2 linked regions of the Lepisosteus oculatus genome follow. The protein of the gene in region 2 interacts with the protein of the main gene of each other region in a biochemical or structural test. Links are inferred from orthologs where the notes say so. Each region holds a gene or a part of one and is shown on either strand. Other genes may lie near its edges.

The links.
Region 1: the proteins of rlim (region 2) and lhx3 form a complex in vitro, tested with the Homo sapiens proteins (2 studies listed by BioGRID). The link is inferred for Lepisosteus oculatus from reciprocal best matches to the Homo sapiens genes RLIM and LHX3.

The regions. Positions count from the first base shown.
Region 1 is NC_090719.1:8,949,457-8,957,788, reverse strand, and holds the start of lhx3 (LIM/homeobox protein Lhx3), read left to right. Parts: upstream 1-5,161; 5' UTR 5,162-5,663; coding exon 5,664-5,733; intron 5,734-8,332. UniProt on the Homo sapiens protein: Transcription factor.
Region 2 is NC_090703.1:37,516,509-37,524,384, forward strand, and holds the start of rlim (E3 ubiquitin-protein ligase RNF12-A), read left to right. Parts: upstream 1-4,442; 5' UTR 4,443-4,580; intron 4,581-6,645; 5' UTR 6,646-6,679; coding exon 6,680-6,848; intron 6,849-7,876. UniProt on the Homo sapiens protein: E3 ubiquitin-protein ligase.

The sequences.
Region 1 (8,332 bases), on a different chromosome or scaffold from region 2:
GTGGTCTCTCCACTTATTTTTGCTTCCAGGCTTCGCAAACAAAAGCTAGTGGAGTGAGATTTCCCAGTTTCTTGTAGGTAACTTCATTAACTGCAATTTTTCTAAACATTTGCAGTGTTTCAGTCTGCTGATTATGGATTCCTTTAGTTAGCATCTTCCTCTGCAAATAAAGCATTCTGTATAAAGGATCAATTAAGTGAACTATCAAGTAAATTTTCCTGCCATAGAAAATCTAATGCTGTTATACTCTTATGTAGCAGCATAAATATTTGATGTGTTTACTTTAAGACTATCTAATGGTAACACCAACAGTAAAATCCTTTTACTACAGAATGATGTGAATGCTTCATATTCCACAACAAAGCCTTACTGTGATTATTGCCATCAAAAGTAATTCATTTGCCGGCTTAATATCAATTGTTAAAATTATTTCCACGACTATGAAAAGTCAGGGTTTTGTGCCTAATTATGAACATACGGGCAGCATGTTGGGTTGCATCCAATCAAACGTCTGTGGGTGTCAGATTCCATTTCTGCTCATTTGAAAGCACAGCAGCCCTATTGTAATACAGGCTCCTGCGGTCTTGATATGTCATGGCAAAGGTGTCTACCTGAAGCTATGAGTGGCGGAATTGAGTGAATCTTAGCTGCAAGTGTGGAAGTTCTCAGGAAAGAAGACATTTTCTTTGGGAACAGCTGTCATTTTTTGAAAAACCATTACTTTAAAACCACAGACGCTAAGAGTGCACTTGTGTCAATGCAAAGCGGAGCAGTATGCCCAATCAGGTAGAAGGATGAAAACAGATGACACATATGGAAGCTGCACTTTGAAAACCTGCTTGTGTCACGATCCAGCTTGAAACTTTGTCTCTTAGTAACACGGAGAGTGCAGAACAAGAACAAGGGGCTTTTAAAACTCTCTGCTCCTTTCACTGGAACTGGCAAATGCCTATTAGATGCAAACTGCAAATGAGTCTTAAAAGCTTTGCAGTCCATGTAGGTACTGCTAGCCACTCTGGCATAAATATTCATTGTGTTGAATGTCAATAACACTTTCAAGAAAAGCCAAGGAGACAGAAAGCTTATATTTGCTCTGGACTGCAGAGCTGTAGAGATGAAAAGAGACCTTCAAGCAAACGAACAAAACTCTTCAATGGAGTATAAAAATGAGCCTCAAGTGACACTTGGATTTCAAGAGCCACATGCGTCAATGTTTTTGTCCCCACTTCCCAAATCGTCTCTCTGAAGTTAGACCTTCCACTCTGAAGACTCACATGCGGGTTTAAATGCCATAGGCTTTGTTAGCAACTATTTCAACCTGATTGCAATGGGTCTCTGAAGTGGGCCCCAGATGTGTCAACACTTAACCAATCTTCTCAAGTGGCAAGAACAGTATAGCTGCCCGCACAATTTGAAAGACCCAAAAATTGAGGGCAGATTACATTTTTTTTTTAATGTTAGTGCTTATTAGCACTGAATTTCTGGTAAACGTTGCTTGTTTTTTTTTTCTTTTTAGATTGTCATTTTAAAACTAACGAAAGACAGAATTTCTTCCTTACTTTTTAAAATGAGAATTGAAAGAATTATTTGTAATATAACAATTACCATTCCTTCTCACTAGCTGTCCCTAATTCGCAAACAAGTGAGTTTGTTCCGTGCACTGCACTGCTTTATCCGGGATGGAGGCCTTGTATTTATCCAAGAAGCTGGAATGGGGGAATCTTCATGTTTCATGGGTGTTCGGAGTTCGTCAGAGACCGCGAGAAACATCTGTAGGAAAACAGACTACAGTGCGCTTGCAGTCCTGTCACTTAAACCGCGTGGTGGTTGTAAATGAATCTCTGCGCAATTCAGAGAAACACAACACAATAAATGCTGAGCCGAAAGAAGGTATTGTACGGCGCTAAAATTAAGAAAAAATAATGTTTTCAGATGATGGTTGATGTCTGCTCGTATACAGGTGCCTCAAAAATAATCGAAAAATTGATTTCATTATTGAAATCTGTGAAGATTGGCACAGAAACTTAGTTAATATTTACAGATTTCAATTAGTATTCTTACGGAACAAGTCCTCAAGAGGATAAAAATACTGTACATCAATATCAAAGAACAGCATTTATAACAACACATACAGTCCTACTTCAGAGAAAGCGGTGTTCTAGAGCGATCCTGGAGTCTGTTTTTGTCTATAAGCTCCTTTGAGGCTGTTTGGTTTTAGAATCCTAGTTATGTGGTTCCTTCCAGACTTGTCGTTTGTCCTTATAATCTTTATCAAAGAGATCAGACTGACTTATTGATGGAGGATTAAGGCTAATAGCCACATCGTCTTCAGTGATGAAAACAAGTTTCACAATAAATTCGGACATCTATGCTAGAAATCTATTGTAATCATTCGACGGTATCCGAGTTGTTTAGGATCCTAACGCGTACATATCTTCTTATATTAGTCTTTTTTTTCTTTGTTAGGCATTACAAATTTAAAATTCCCCAAATGCAAAAAACTGCAATCAGGAGACTTTTGTTCGGCATATTTTTCTCGTTATTCTTATTATTGTTATAATCGTTGTTGTTGTTGTTTGTACTACAGGCAAGAAGCGATGACTAATGAACGAGAAAAATGCACGAATTTAAGTCTTTTGATGTTCACATTAATTTATAGACCCAGTGAAATAGCATTATTTTCACGTATTTAGCTCAACTAATTAAATTACTTGTAAAATCAAGTTCTATACAATTTGAATGTTTTTTCAAACCCAAGAAACAAGTACTTGCAAATAAGGTTGATTGTGTTAGAACACTATTATTGTTTTTTTTGTCTTCACGTTGCTAAACTATTACACTATGTACATTATTTTTGCAAATGACTTAATATCAGGCGAGTTTGTATAACATACAGTGTATGTTCACTTTAACAAGGATGGTGTACTGTATGCACTAGTATTATACAGTTTACTATAATGTTATTAAAAAGGTAGCAAACTACATCTTTGTGAGAAAATAGAAAGTGGTTAATAAAAGTGAAAACTATTTTCCCTAAAAAGTGAAAACTGTCCCTCCACGCCTCCAGGCCAATTAAAGAAATTATTCCTCATAAATATGAACTAGTGGTAGCCTCAATAAAAACAAAATAACGCTAGGTAGGGTATTTCATTTATTGCAATTTATGATTTTAACCCCTAACGTTAATTGTATAAAATGTCATAATGAGGAAAAAAATGAAAGAATACGCTTTTTACGGCATTTATTTCTATTATAAACGTAACGTAGGAATGCTATACACTGCACATACAGTAGCACAGTAGCTAGAAGATGTTTCCTTCTATGTTTAGGTCTATATCTGTTCTAAAATAAATTTTAGGCATCAAATCTGATAAAAACGATACGGAAAACAAGGCAGTGACGATGATTACGTTTGAGAAATAAAATGCATATAAAATGTATAAAAAATGAATTAGTTCAACTGAAGTACGCATATGCTTCGGCTGTTCCGCGTCCTGAAGGTGCGACGTTGCTCTGTTATTTTCCAACAAGTGAAAATTCGGTCACCTTACTTTTGTAAAGTGATTTAGACATATGTGCTGACAGTCCGTCTTTAAAGTGCTTTTATTAATTTGTAATCCTCTCGGATTAGGTTTAACCGGATTCATTCCGATTAGTGGCTCGCAGTAACTAACATTAATTATCGCCTGAAACGGAGATTTGGATTTCCTTCCTCTGGCAGGCAAACTTCCAGGATTCCTGTCCGAAATCACAGTCTGTAAAATGTTGGGTGAAACGTCTTAAATATTAGAGGAACCACAAGCTCGGCGCCGCTTTGCAAACACTTTGCTCATAGACAAGTGTATGCAATTGCACGCTGTATGTGTTTGGGGTAAATTGTAAAACCCTACATTGGCTTCATAAATGAATCGTTTCTTCTGTACCGGTTTGTCGATATACTACTGTATGCCCTCGCCCGGCCATCATTCTTGTATACAGCAGATGTAAATTATTGTACAGTATGTAGCGTGTATCTGCCGCATCTGCAGTGTCTTTTTAACGAAGAATGCCCAATATCCATCCCCACTGCAGTCAGATGAAGATGTTATTCTAAAGGAAGATTTATAATAATTGTGTAATGACCATTTAAAACTGCAGATTGACGTAACCCTGATTTTTAGGAGGATTATACGTATGAATACGTTGTCTTACTCAATGCTATAGCGCTCTGAATTCTCACACCCCAGTAATTAACCCACCAGCCAGAGCCCTCCAGTGACCAAAGAGCACCCTGCCGCGGGCAATCGTTATTCGAGCGGTAAGTTTGGCTATAACAACCAATAGATCAATTCCATGTTTCCCGCTTTATTTTTTACGTAGCTGATGAGTTGAAAACTAATGCCAAATGTATAAACGCAGTCATTTTCATCCATTATCCCGACGCGTAAAGTTCGACAACCCAGAAACAGACCTTCAAGAGCCGGTCGCAAGGCGTGACGTAAAACGCCTCAATACACTCAAGTATTTACACATTTCAGAACATTTAAATATTTACATTCCACTTCACGTAACTCTTTTTGTCCGCATGCAATGTATTTAAAACTGGTATGAGCCCTTGTGTTCATCAGTCTTGAACAAGTTTACCATTTAATTCTGCTATGGTGATCAAACAAATCGAGTCCAAACATTGAGAAAGCGAGGTAATAGTCAATTACTGTATAATAGCACGATGTTTACTAGTTTAAGCATTAATATATATATATATTAATGCGTCATCAAAATCCCTGGCGGTTTTGTTTTGAATCCATGTAATCTTTTAACTGATAAGAGGACAGAACATTTCGGTCCTGAAAGATTCTGATATTAGGTAAAAAACTAAACGTCTTTCTTTAAAATCTTTGTAGCAGTTACTTCCACAAATAAGCTTCATTTTTACTCTCCCCCCTCCATCCACCCAACCCCCCCAACTCGGTGGCAAATTTTACTTTTGTTATAGGGAACAAAAGGAGAACGGGGGTGTTAAACGATTTTTTTTTCCTTTTTCTCATGACTACAATGTCTGGACGCGGGCTGCCTAGTATCCTATTGTGTACGGTGAAAGACAGACACGTGTATATTATATGTATTGGGGCACGGCAGGGAACAAAACAGCATAAACACGCCTCCGGCATCGCGTCTAGCTACTCCCCTTCAGCACCACGGACAGGGCAAAATGTCAACAGCGCCGCATCCCCGCTCGCCGCTTTTGTTATGTTAAAGACCGGTACTCCTAGCAACTCTAGGTCAGCTGACGGTATTAATTGTCGCTGTAGGAATCCCCGTCTTCACCCACGGAACAAAACAGCTAGTTACACTGTAGCTTTCTAAAAGTTGACATCTCACCAGGAAGCGGCGACTTTGACGTCTGTTGTGTACACTGATTTTAATTCGCCGATTCGAAAAATCTGAGGCAAACCCTGCCTTTCCTTTTCGTTATCGCCCGCGAAGCCGCTTTGAAAATTAGCGCTACAGTTTGTTTTGTTTGGTTGTGTTTTTTTTTTTTTACAGTTAGTGTATAAAAGGCGCGTTAGTCTTTTTTCTCCTACAAGACGTGCCTTTTGTTTCAAAATACCTTTTACGGTTGATCACAGAACACCTTCCGTATGCATTAATTTCCATTTAAAACCTTGCCACTTCGACTAAACATGTTGCTTGAACACTCGGGATCAAGCTGTCAGAATCACAGTAATTTATCCAGATACAATTCCAGCCAAGGTAAGAAATATTATTTTATTTCTTAGGTTTGACATTGCTTTTGAATTGTGCTTGAGTCCTGTTAACCGTTGCTTCCTTTACTTTGAGTGTCTAATTGCTGATTTCACGCTCTTTAACTACCTTATGTTCGTCTGCTGGGCATAATTCGCTGTGGAACAGTACCTGTTACACTCCCTACATCGAATAGTCTTTATAGGGATTAATTTCAAAGCCATATAAACACAACTTATTTTAAACGGTAGTATCTGAAGTGCTACTTATAGGGATTATTTTTAGTGCCGTATAAACACAGCTTTCTTGAAACTATCTGGTCAACTTGTTTTAAATGGTAGTCTCTGAAGTGCACCACGGTGAAAATAATGTGTTTCATGTGATTTATATATGAAGCCATTTTACTAGTCTAATGGGAAAAAAAATGTTGTAATAATGTCTAGACACTTCAATTATTTCTTTAGATTTCACAATGGCAAAAAGGTCTCATTGCTTAAGGTTATAATTTCTTTAAATACTGGTACGGTAGATGTCGAATTATTTTAAAAGCGATGAAAGCAAAAGACCAAGCGGTTTACGACTTGCTAACGAGACGCATTGGTCCGACAGAGGGGCAGCTACGTTTTCTTTTCTTTCTTGCCCAGTTTGTAGCGGACGTTATGAATATGTAATGAGCTGCATTGTTAGTAAATGATATGAACAGATGTTAAGCGCGTGCTGTCATTTCACACCATTATTCATCGCTATTGTGAGACCACCGGTACACTCCGGGCCCCCGGAGTAAGACTGCACTCCGGCGGGACCACAGCGCAACAGCCTGCCTGCCCTGAGATGTGCACCATACACTTCATTGCAAAACTTCCAGATCTCGTCTTCTCACGACAGGTGCTGCACCTGAGATATTTGAACATAAAGGACGTCCCCGTGGATCGGTCACAAACAGTCACCGAGAATGCAGGGGTGAAAAGCATGTTGTATGTACATTAGCAGGCATGTTAAAAAAATAAAACATTCCTGCTAATGTACATACAGTAGGTACTTGCAATCCGAAATGAATTGGGAGGAACTGTAAAAGCAATTTAAAGGTTCTCTGGTAAAGCGCTGACTTTTAGTGGTAGGAAACAAATACACTTCAATAAGTAACGGTGTTCCTGAACGCAAAGCACCATGAAAAGGGTTAATCAGTAATAGTATACAATTTCCATTCTTTTTTCGAGCAACAAATTTAATATTTACTTAAATATAACTTAGATACATTCAAGCTATTAACCCAAATCGATTTTAGTACTCATTGCTGGGTCCTGGTAATCATTTCAGTGCATTGAAATATTCATTTTTGCATCAAACCATTAAAATGTCTTTTAAACTCAGTTTCCAAACTGGAGGACGTCCTGCGGTGGACTATGATTCGCTTACCGCTTTGTTAAATCGAAGATGATTGTAGTTTTCCAACAGGCAGTTAATTCAAGAACATTAGTTATTCATTATTTAACATCATCAACCCTGGAGCACTAACTTGCAGCTTGGTATATATTGGTTTATTTACCCACGGTTCACAGTGGTCTTAATGAACTCAAGGTGAATTATGACAGCAACAACAACCGATTGATAATATAGGTGAGAATTATTTGAAAATATTAATTTCTTAAAATCATGATAACACGATATACTGTATTTATACAGAAAACGTAGTATACAGACCTCCGTGTTTCAATTCGATTTTCTAGTTCAAAGTAACGTAAAATAGTAATTTACAATATTCAGTATCCAGATATAGATATTGCTTGAGCTAATAGGATAAAAATGGAAAATGAACAGTTTCCGCCTGATGAGTCAATTTGTGAAAAGCCCGTTAAGACCCAGCAGTTTCTCTGTGGATGTCCCTCACTTTTTTTTCAAGGCCATAGGCGCCGCTCATTTTATTGCGCTTCTGTCGCCCGGCCACTCAAAAGTGCCCGATCAATAACGCATAAAAAAATATTATTAAAGCTTAAAAGTAAGGAAGAACATTGAAACATTACGCACCTTTCACCAAAATGTGTTTCGCCTGCTCTGAAAACGCAGGCAAATGGGGCATTGATTCTGAATTCATCAGAGAACCCGGCAGCGGTACCACTACGCCTGATTTCCCAAGGCGCCCTTTTGCACTAAGGATCAGTGTCAATAAAATTTATCTGGGTGTTGCCTCGCTTAACATTTTATTGAGCGGCCCATCTTTCCCAAAGCAAACAGTTGTCTTTGAGAAGTCATTGCATAGACCTAGCGACGCGCCTTCATTCTGACCCTCACGACTTCTCTTACTAAAACCTATTTACCGATCCTACAAATGCGACCTGTTCTGGCTGCTGCTCTTGTGACGCCTGTCGTGAGCGCCTTTTATTTCTTGATCTTTGTTTCTAGACACAATTGCTATTGTGCATTGCCTCGCAATGTTTGTAACATGAAGACTTTGATACGGAATACGCCTTTTTATTGAGAATGAAGTTTCTTACCTCACGAACAATTTAAATAATGTATGCCTATATCACTCGGCAAAATCACTCGGCAAGAATCCCTCGACTAGAATCTGCAAGCGTGTAGAATGTTTCTGATGATTACTGCTTTCGCC
Region 2 (7,876 bases):
CTGTACCTCTGCTGCTACATGAAAGATATGTGAACTTGAAAGCTCTTTGAAGAAGTTCAGAAGAATAGACACAAATGAGAGGAGGCTATTGGCACATCTAATTTGTTTGGTTGTTAGCAGCAAATTGTTCCAAGGAACTTCTCCAGCCGTTCAATGAAAGAAGCAAGGATATCCTGGCAAAATAACTGGATTAACTTTGTCAGTAACTTTGAGGATTCTGATTACATTTATCTGGACATCTTGTAGTCTTATCAGTTCGAGACTAAAAAGGTTCAGTTTCTTCAGCCTATCAGTATAATCACACACTTTAGCCCCAGAATGAAATTTATATTTTGACAGAGGAAGAGTCCAACTTAATTCCACAGGAAAGGATTGATCACATGGCAATACGGGACAGGAGCTTTAACCTGTACATTATTACTTTACAGGAGAAGCCTACCACTTTTCTTACATTCTTTTTCTACTAAACAGGTACTCCTTACACTCAGCCCTTTATAATAATCTGTGAGAGAGACTTTTTCTGCATGAACAAAGTGAAAATATGCCATTGTACATCTCTGAAAGCTGAGACATTAGATGACCTGAGGTTGCTTGCTATCCAAAAATGGCTGTGATGTTGACAGCTTATGTCCAGATTGTGAAAATACTTTTTTCTTCTCAGACAAAGGGAGCAGGCATCTGGTCCATAAGACTACAGTCTGGAAATTCAAAACCACATCTGAAAGCCAGAGTAAGGGTGAATCTAAAGATGAGGCATCTGAATGGATGAAATGTTGTCAACATCCTCTAGTTTACAAGGGTACTATATCTCATAGAATGTTAGCATGCCCCGATTACAAACTAAAACTATATCTTCAATCACTCCACTGTGTTGTTGAAATGGAAAGAATCTCTTCCAGACAAACTGTATTTTTTTCTTAATTGGGCACATCTCACTGTGCATACATGTTTCATTTCCTGGAAAAAATCAGAAAACAATTTGTTTAAAACCTGTTCTGTGCAGAAATCAGGGTCTAGATGTTCAATTATTTGGTCAAATTGATCCTTAAACAAACAACATAGACCACCAAATATATTGAGCTTCTCTGTGTTGCTATATAATTAACAAAATTAATTAAAATGACTTCCATTATATGTTAATGCATGTCAATTACTGCTGTTAATTATTATAATAATCCACCCCTCTTTGTGATTTGTGCATTTTGACAAGGTAGTTACTTTTTTTAGTTACTCTAATTGTAATTTTTGCTGCTGTACATGCATGGTTGTTATAGCTACTGTAAAGTGTACAGTGTATAGTTGTACCTAACAAAGTCAACTACCCTGAGGCTAATATGAGCAAGAGGTGGTTCTGTTAGGCCTAATACATTGAAAAGATGGTATGCTCATGAAAGCGATTGTTAGAACTTTTAGATTTTCATTGACAAATGAAAACTCTATTAAACCAGCAACTGATAACTCAGCTCAACAAGATTGGGAATTTCAGAATGCTGCAAGAGGGATCACGAAATAGCTTTGGAAAAACGTGATGCAAACTAGAGGTTACTATACTTAACATTCCTTTTTATCAGTAGGCTGCTAGTTGAAAGAGGTGTATATTAAATGTTAAACCTATTAGAACTCAGAAATAAAAATTGTTGAAAGTATTAAACACACCCCACTCTATCCACCCAACCAAAATCTTATTACAAAATCCCCTTCTCCACCCTGCTTGCATGCTCCTTGTCAATAATCAACATGGGCTTCACATGTATCCTCTATTTCCAGAGTAAAATGTGAATAGCCCAACCATATTCCTTCTCCATTGCATGTGTGCATGATTTTGAATTTTGATCCTGATCTCAGGTTTTCTCTGGGAGCTCCAGCTTCCTCCTACTTTCAGAAGACAAGCTGACTAGGCTTGAGTGGCTATTTGAAATCGTCCCTTTCTTTGTCACCCTGCAATAGACTGCTGCCCCCTCTAGGGGAAGAGCTGTCATGTTCTTTGTTTTTGGGACGGGCCCCCAGCTAGCCATGACTCTCAGCAGGTGAAGCAACGCTCTGATAACAGATAGATGACAAGCAGTTAAGCAGTAAATTAAACGTTAAATTAGTACATCCAAAGCCAAAATTAATAATTTTGGATCACACCCAATGTTCTCTCTAAGCAAAGCAGCACACAAAGGAAATTGAACTGAGCACAAAAAATTAAATTCCCCCCAAAATTATAATAATAAAACAAACACGGTTATCAATTGAAAAACGCTAAATTGACCATGAGACTGGCTGTGAGAGGCCCAACTTGGCTGTGTGCATTATTATTGCTACTCAATAACCGATATCTATGCTCTCGTAGTCTTGAACCTCACTGCTCATGCTCGCTCGGCACAGTCTCTATGACTGGGCTCGTTGAATTGCTGTCCCGGTCTTTTGGATCTCTATGCTTCAATGAGAATGACTATATTAACAAAAAATAATTTCAGGTTTACAATTTCACATATACTCAATTTAGTGCGCACAGGTACTCGAATTGTTTGCGCACATAGGCCATTACAAATTAGAGGGAACATAGGTCACACTTTTCTCTCAATGACAGACTCATTTCTTTTTAAAAAACTTTCATACTTTCACATTTCTCCCCCATCTCGCTCTTTGTTCAGACACTCAATTCAATACAATTCAAGTTGCTTTAATGGCATGACCGATGGGTACAATCAGTTTTGCCAGTGTTTTCCAAAAAATAAAAATAAAATAAAATCTACAGACTTATTACAGACATTTACAACAAAGATATATCTTTCTCACCTGTGTACCCATTCGCACCTGCTCTGTCCTTTGTTCTCTCGTGATTTTTATTCCAACCTTCATTCTCTCTCCCTCACACTCAAAGAAGGCTCAACAGCAGTTTCAATGAAGAATTTCTACTTTTTACTTTCTACTGATCAATGTGGAATTAACCATTACTTGTTCCTTTAAAATCAATGCACCCTAACACTGCTCCCTACTCAAACCTTGTCAATTCATCCATTTGCTAATAACTTTCGCTAATGGGTCAAGGGGAAGCCGGAGCCCACCCGCCAAACAACGGGCACAAGGCAGGATAGACCCTGGATAAAACGCTCGTGCATTGCAGATTGCACAGCGACACAATACAGACGCTCACACTCCCAATTTCCCCATTTCCCCAGAAGCCAGTTAACCTTCCAGTACGTTTAGACTGTGTGAGGAAACTGGAGCACCTGGAGTAAACTCACACTAATACAGGGAGAACACAAACACTACACAGATAGATTGCTCCCCATGGTGCGCTGCGAGAGAGAGCAATGCTAACTAACCACTGTGCCACCATGCCCTCATAAGCTTAATATCGTTTTACCCAAATTAAACAGCAATAATAACAGTTCATAAAAAATCATATTTCACAGATCATAGAAAAAATGTAGAAAATACCAGTGGAGGCTGTGACTCCCACTGCTATCAATCTATTCCAGGAGCAATATAAAAGAGGAGAAAATGCAGATATGTATTATATGAACTAATTTACTTCATAAAAATTCTCACCAGCCTTTAGAAATGACCGTCAATCCGTTAGTGATGCTTATGTTGACAAGAAGAGGCGTGGCAAAATTGTATACACATAGTAAGAACCAACAAATACACTACACTGGATTCTTATTTTGAAGAGAAATAACAAAAGAAATCATTTTCTTTTGATGATTTCCTAATGTTCTGTTTCGGGCAGAAAACAAAAATGCAAAACATTTTGTGAAGAAATGCCAATAATGGGTTTTGTTATTTATTTCATGCGCGTAACATCGTCACCTTTCGTGAACTAGCGCAGTTCGGTGTGGAACGCTGTTGAGGGGCGCCGCAGCGTCAGTCTGGTGTATTGGCACAGCCTAGGGGCCTGTGTGCACAAAGCACGGGTGTGTGTGAAATGGTGAGTATAGATAGCTTACAACCGAAGAACACAGATTGCCCGAAAAAAAAACATTAAAATAATTTTGTATGACACATACTCATATCATAAGTTAGTGGACCCAGTTTAATATAAACAATATTTTGGATGCTATCGCGCATGCCTTTCTCCTCTAGTTAAATTGATCCGCATTCCGGTTCTTGTTTTCGTCTGCCCAGTGCTTCAGGGCGTTGAAGTGACAGCAGCACACGTGGGAAATTATACGCACTTGGGGTATTATGTTTTTATTATCATCCAATGACAATATGTACCAGGATGCGTAACATATTTCTAATTATTATTTCATTTTTTAGAAAAGACATTCTATGTAATCTGTCACTTCCCAGCTACATGCATTACATCCCCGCAGTTCTCCTTATTCCTATGCACCGCATCAACAACCAGAGAAAACCGAAAGAATGCAGCACCGAGTCCGTCTTCCCTCCTCAAGATGGCGCTGTGGCGGGCGAACAGAACTCCTGGTCCTTGCGTATTTCCGTTTTATCACAGCTCCTGTTCCGGTAGGCTTTGCAATAATGAAGAAAATGGCAGTTTGAGACATAGGAAGACAGAGGTGAATCCGAGATAGAGAAGAGAGGAAAATACGCGAATTAATTGAAGTAAAAGCAACGGATTATAACAGGTATACGAAACGGTTCTTGAATTCGTAACACGGGGGTCAAAAATCGTCCCGCTTTGTGTTATTGGCCGGAAAATGATGACGTTGTTTTTAATTAGAAACTCCTTGTTTATTTTTTGTTGTGCAATTCATGAAATGTCGTTTGATGGTCTAGCCTTTCATTGAATTTTCTTTAATTAAAGAAACACCAATTCAGCATGCCGCAGTAAAAGTCGTTAAAATAACTGTTTTTGCTTTTTGTCGGTGTTCTAGCGATTAAAAGGAGGTTTCTCTGTTTTTTCTTTTCTTTACCTAATTTAACAGACGGTGGGCCTCAGAGCTTATTACTCATAATTGAGTTGCTTGAAATGAATCCGATCGAAAAAAATCAAATCTATGACTATAGTAGTAATTCTGTGTTGTTTATACCACGGTAAGATTCAGTAATACAATCCAGAAAGATATTTTTCTGACCTAATTTGGGAAACGTACAGCTGTTGCCATTTTGTTTTTTCTCATCGATTGTCAGATTCAGACATGATGTGTTTTGATCTAAACACGAATAATTTTAGTCAAAAAGGCTTCACATGATTTCAGCATTTTTAAATACACAGTTTAGACCATGCGTTTTTAAAAGTTCAGACGTCTTTTGCTTTACACATAACTGAAGATAAATAGGGATGACGCACCGCCTTATTTCAGTAACTTAATTGTATAGCAATTTTTAATATTTCAGAATAGTATTTTGAACCTCTTCCACTGATTACCATCTTAAGTGGTTTTTCATTGGGATATAGTCCTTGGTTTGGGAGTTATTCTATTGCAAAATTATAGGCCCGTTTTTATAATTCACTCATTTTAATTGGATCATAAAAAGCAAGCATTTGTTATAATGTTTTCAGATTGGTTCATTGTCCATATAAGTTGATAAGGTAATGAAATTAATGTTTATTTTAGTTTTGTTGTACTAAGCATCACATTTATAGTGTGCACTCAAATGCACAGATTGTGCAGCAGATCTGTTAATAATGTTATTTGATCAGTTTATGAATCAGACACTGTGATCGTTGTAAAATACTAGCTTACAATGAAGAACTGGTGGAATTGCTCCAGTAAATACTCTGCCCACTGGTATTCACTTGAGCAATCTGAATCCCATACTTTGCTCACGGGTACAAAAGCAACATCCCACATGGGATTTAAAAGCCATGACCCAACTAAACCATGCAGCTGAATGAATTAACTGCTCTAAATTTACAGAATTAGATTTATTTTTAGTTACCTTTTGGATCTGTCATTTATTTAAGAAGTTGACTTTTTATAGAAAGTGTAAGCCCTCATAGGAAATATGTAGGTTGTACCCATGTCTGTTTTATAACAATATTTTGTGTAGAATGTGTGAATCTTAGTAAAACAAAGAGCATAAGCAATAAGTAGGACATTGCAGACTTTTTTGTATTCACTGCTCCCTATTGTATTTCTACCAGTGCAGATTAAAAATCATTTTGAAGCCTTGCCTGTTTAACCATGAATGCTGAGAAAAGCTCAACAGCTTCCTTGCTGTGATTGGATTCACTCTGATCTTTTCCACAAGAGTATCTCCATGTGCTTTTAAATTTGATAAGATCAGTCGCTACCTATAAAAAGCGACGTGTCCTCAAATTGTTCATTTCTTGTGTAAAATACATAGTGTTTCATCACGTGCCTGGGCAGATCCTTAATGACATGAGCACATTTTCCGGTTTCCGCAAATATTAGTGTGTACTTAACGTGTAAGGAGTTGATTATGAAGCTAGATTTGTGTCCCAGTTATGAGCTTGAGACATTTTTAAAGAAGTTTTTTATGAGTGCATGTTTGAATTTTCACACGAGTGCATGATTACCATCCCAGGCTAAATCAATATAACCTCTCCCCCAGCCCCCGCTATGAACATGATCTGAAGATTAGAAGAATTTGTACTGTATCATTTAATGCCAAATGCAAAGTGGCTCTTATATTTGAAATAAAGTGCAGCTCAAGGGGCTGATATGTAACCCTGTGGCACCACACCATCTTCAAATCAATTTTCCTTTGTTTTCATTCTAATAGTCTGAAGTAAGACCTCACCTTTGCCCTGGCTGCAATGGAGAACTCGGACAGTGCGGAACAAGGAGGAAGCGAGCAGTCGGAAGCTCAACGTCAGCGGCAGAGAGACCGGCTCAACAGGGAAGAGGCTTTCTACCAGTTTGTGAACAACCTGAGTGAGGAGGACTACCGGCTGATGAGAGACAATAACCTGTTGGGAACCCCTGGTAATACATCCATTTTTTAGTGACAGAACAATTTTCACAGCTAATTCCCTTAAATTGATATGTTTTTGTTTCCGTTTTAATACTATTGGGTTTCCTCCACAGACCCAGTCAGGCGGAGGAAAAACTGATTGACTTGCAAATACTAACGTTTTAAAATGAAGCGATGGATTCTACCTCACAAAGTAGTTAGTCAACATGCTAAATGAATGAACTGCATCACATTGGTTATAATTACAAGACTTTTTTGCCACTCATTTAATATTTTCTCAAGAAAATGCTTTAGAAAACCTTAAAATAACACACCTGGATTGAATGCTTTCAAAAGGAAGTGCTTAAAGTGACCTAGTGTTGAAAGCTCATCAAGTACTAAAACTAAGCTTAACGGGCTCAAATTCGGATCACTTTAACATGATCACAGCTTGATCCTACTTTTTAAAATACAGATTAACTACATTTTAATTTAATTTAAATTACAAAAAGGTTGCAGCACTGTTTGTCTTGGCACAGACAATGCAGAACAGACCACCTTCAGTCATGACAAAAGTAGGCCTCTATTCGTTACTGAAGTTTGGTGTGGTGATGTTTTGCTGTTTCTGCATTAAAATCATTTCATTTGGAATTGCATTAACATTATGAATGATAGAAAACTTTATGTAGCCAGAAATCTACTAGTGTTGTGCCACAGTATTCATTATTTGGTATAATAACACACTGATCATGTCTTTATTACTCCGAAAGTGTGGAGTTTAATCTGCTATCTGTATTGCTTAAGTTAAAGATTATAATTGTTTCCTTCAGCTGTATGTAGGAGAGCTTCAAAGAAGTATTCTGATGCTAATCATCATTTAAAACTTGTTTACTTTGAGTCGTAAATCCAGTTTATTTTCCAGACTGGTGTGGCGTAGATTTAAGCCTTTGCCACTTCTGAGCAGGTTAGCACTTAGTGGAATAAATATGACTTATTGCAGTTTTCTTTCTGCATTTCTTTATTAATATTGCTGTGTGGTTTTAATAAATTCTTTGCTATG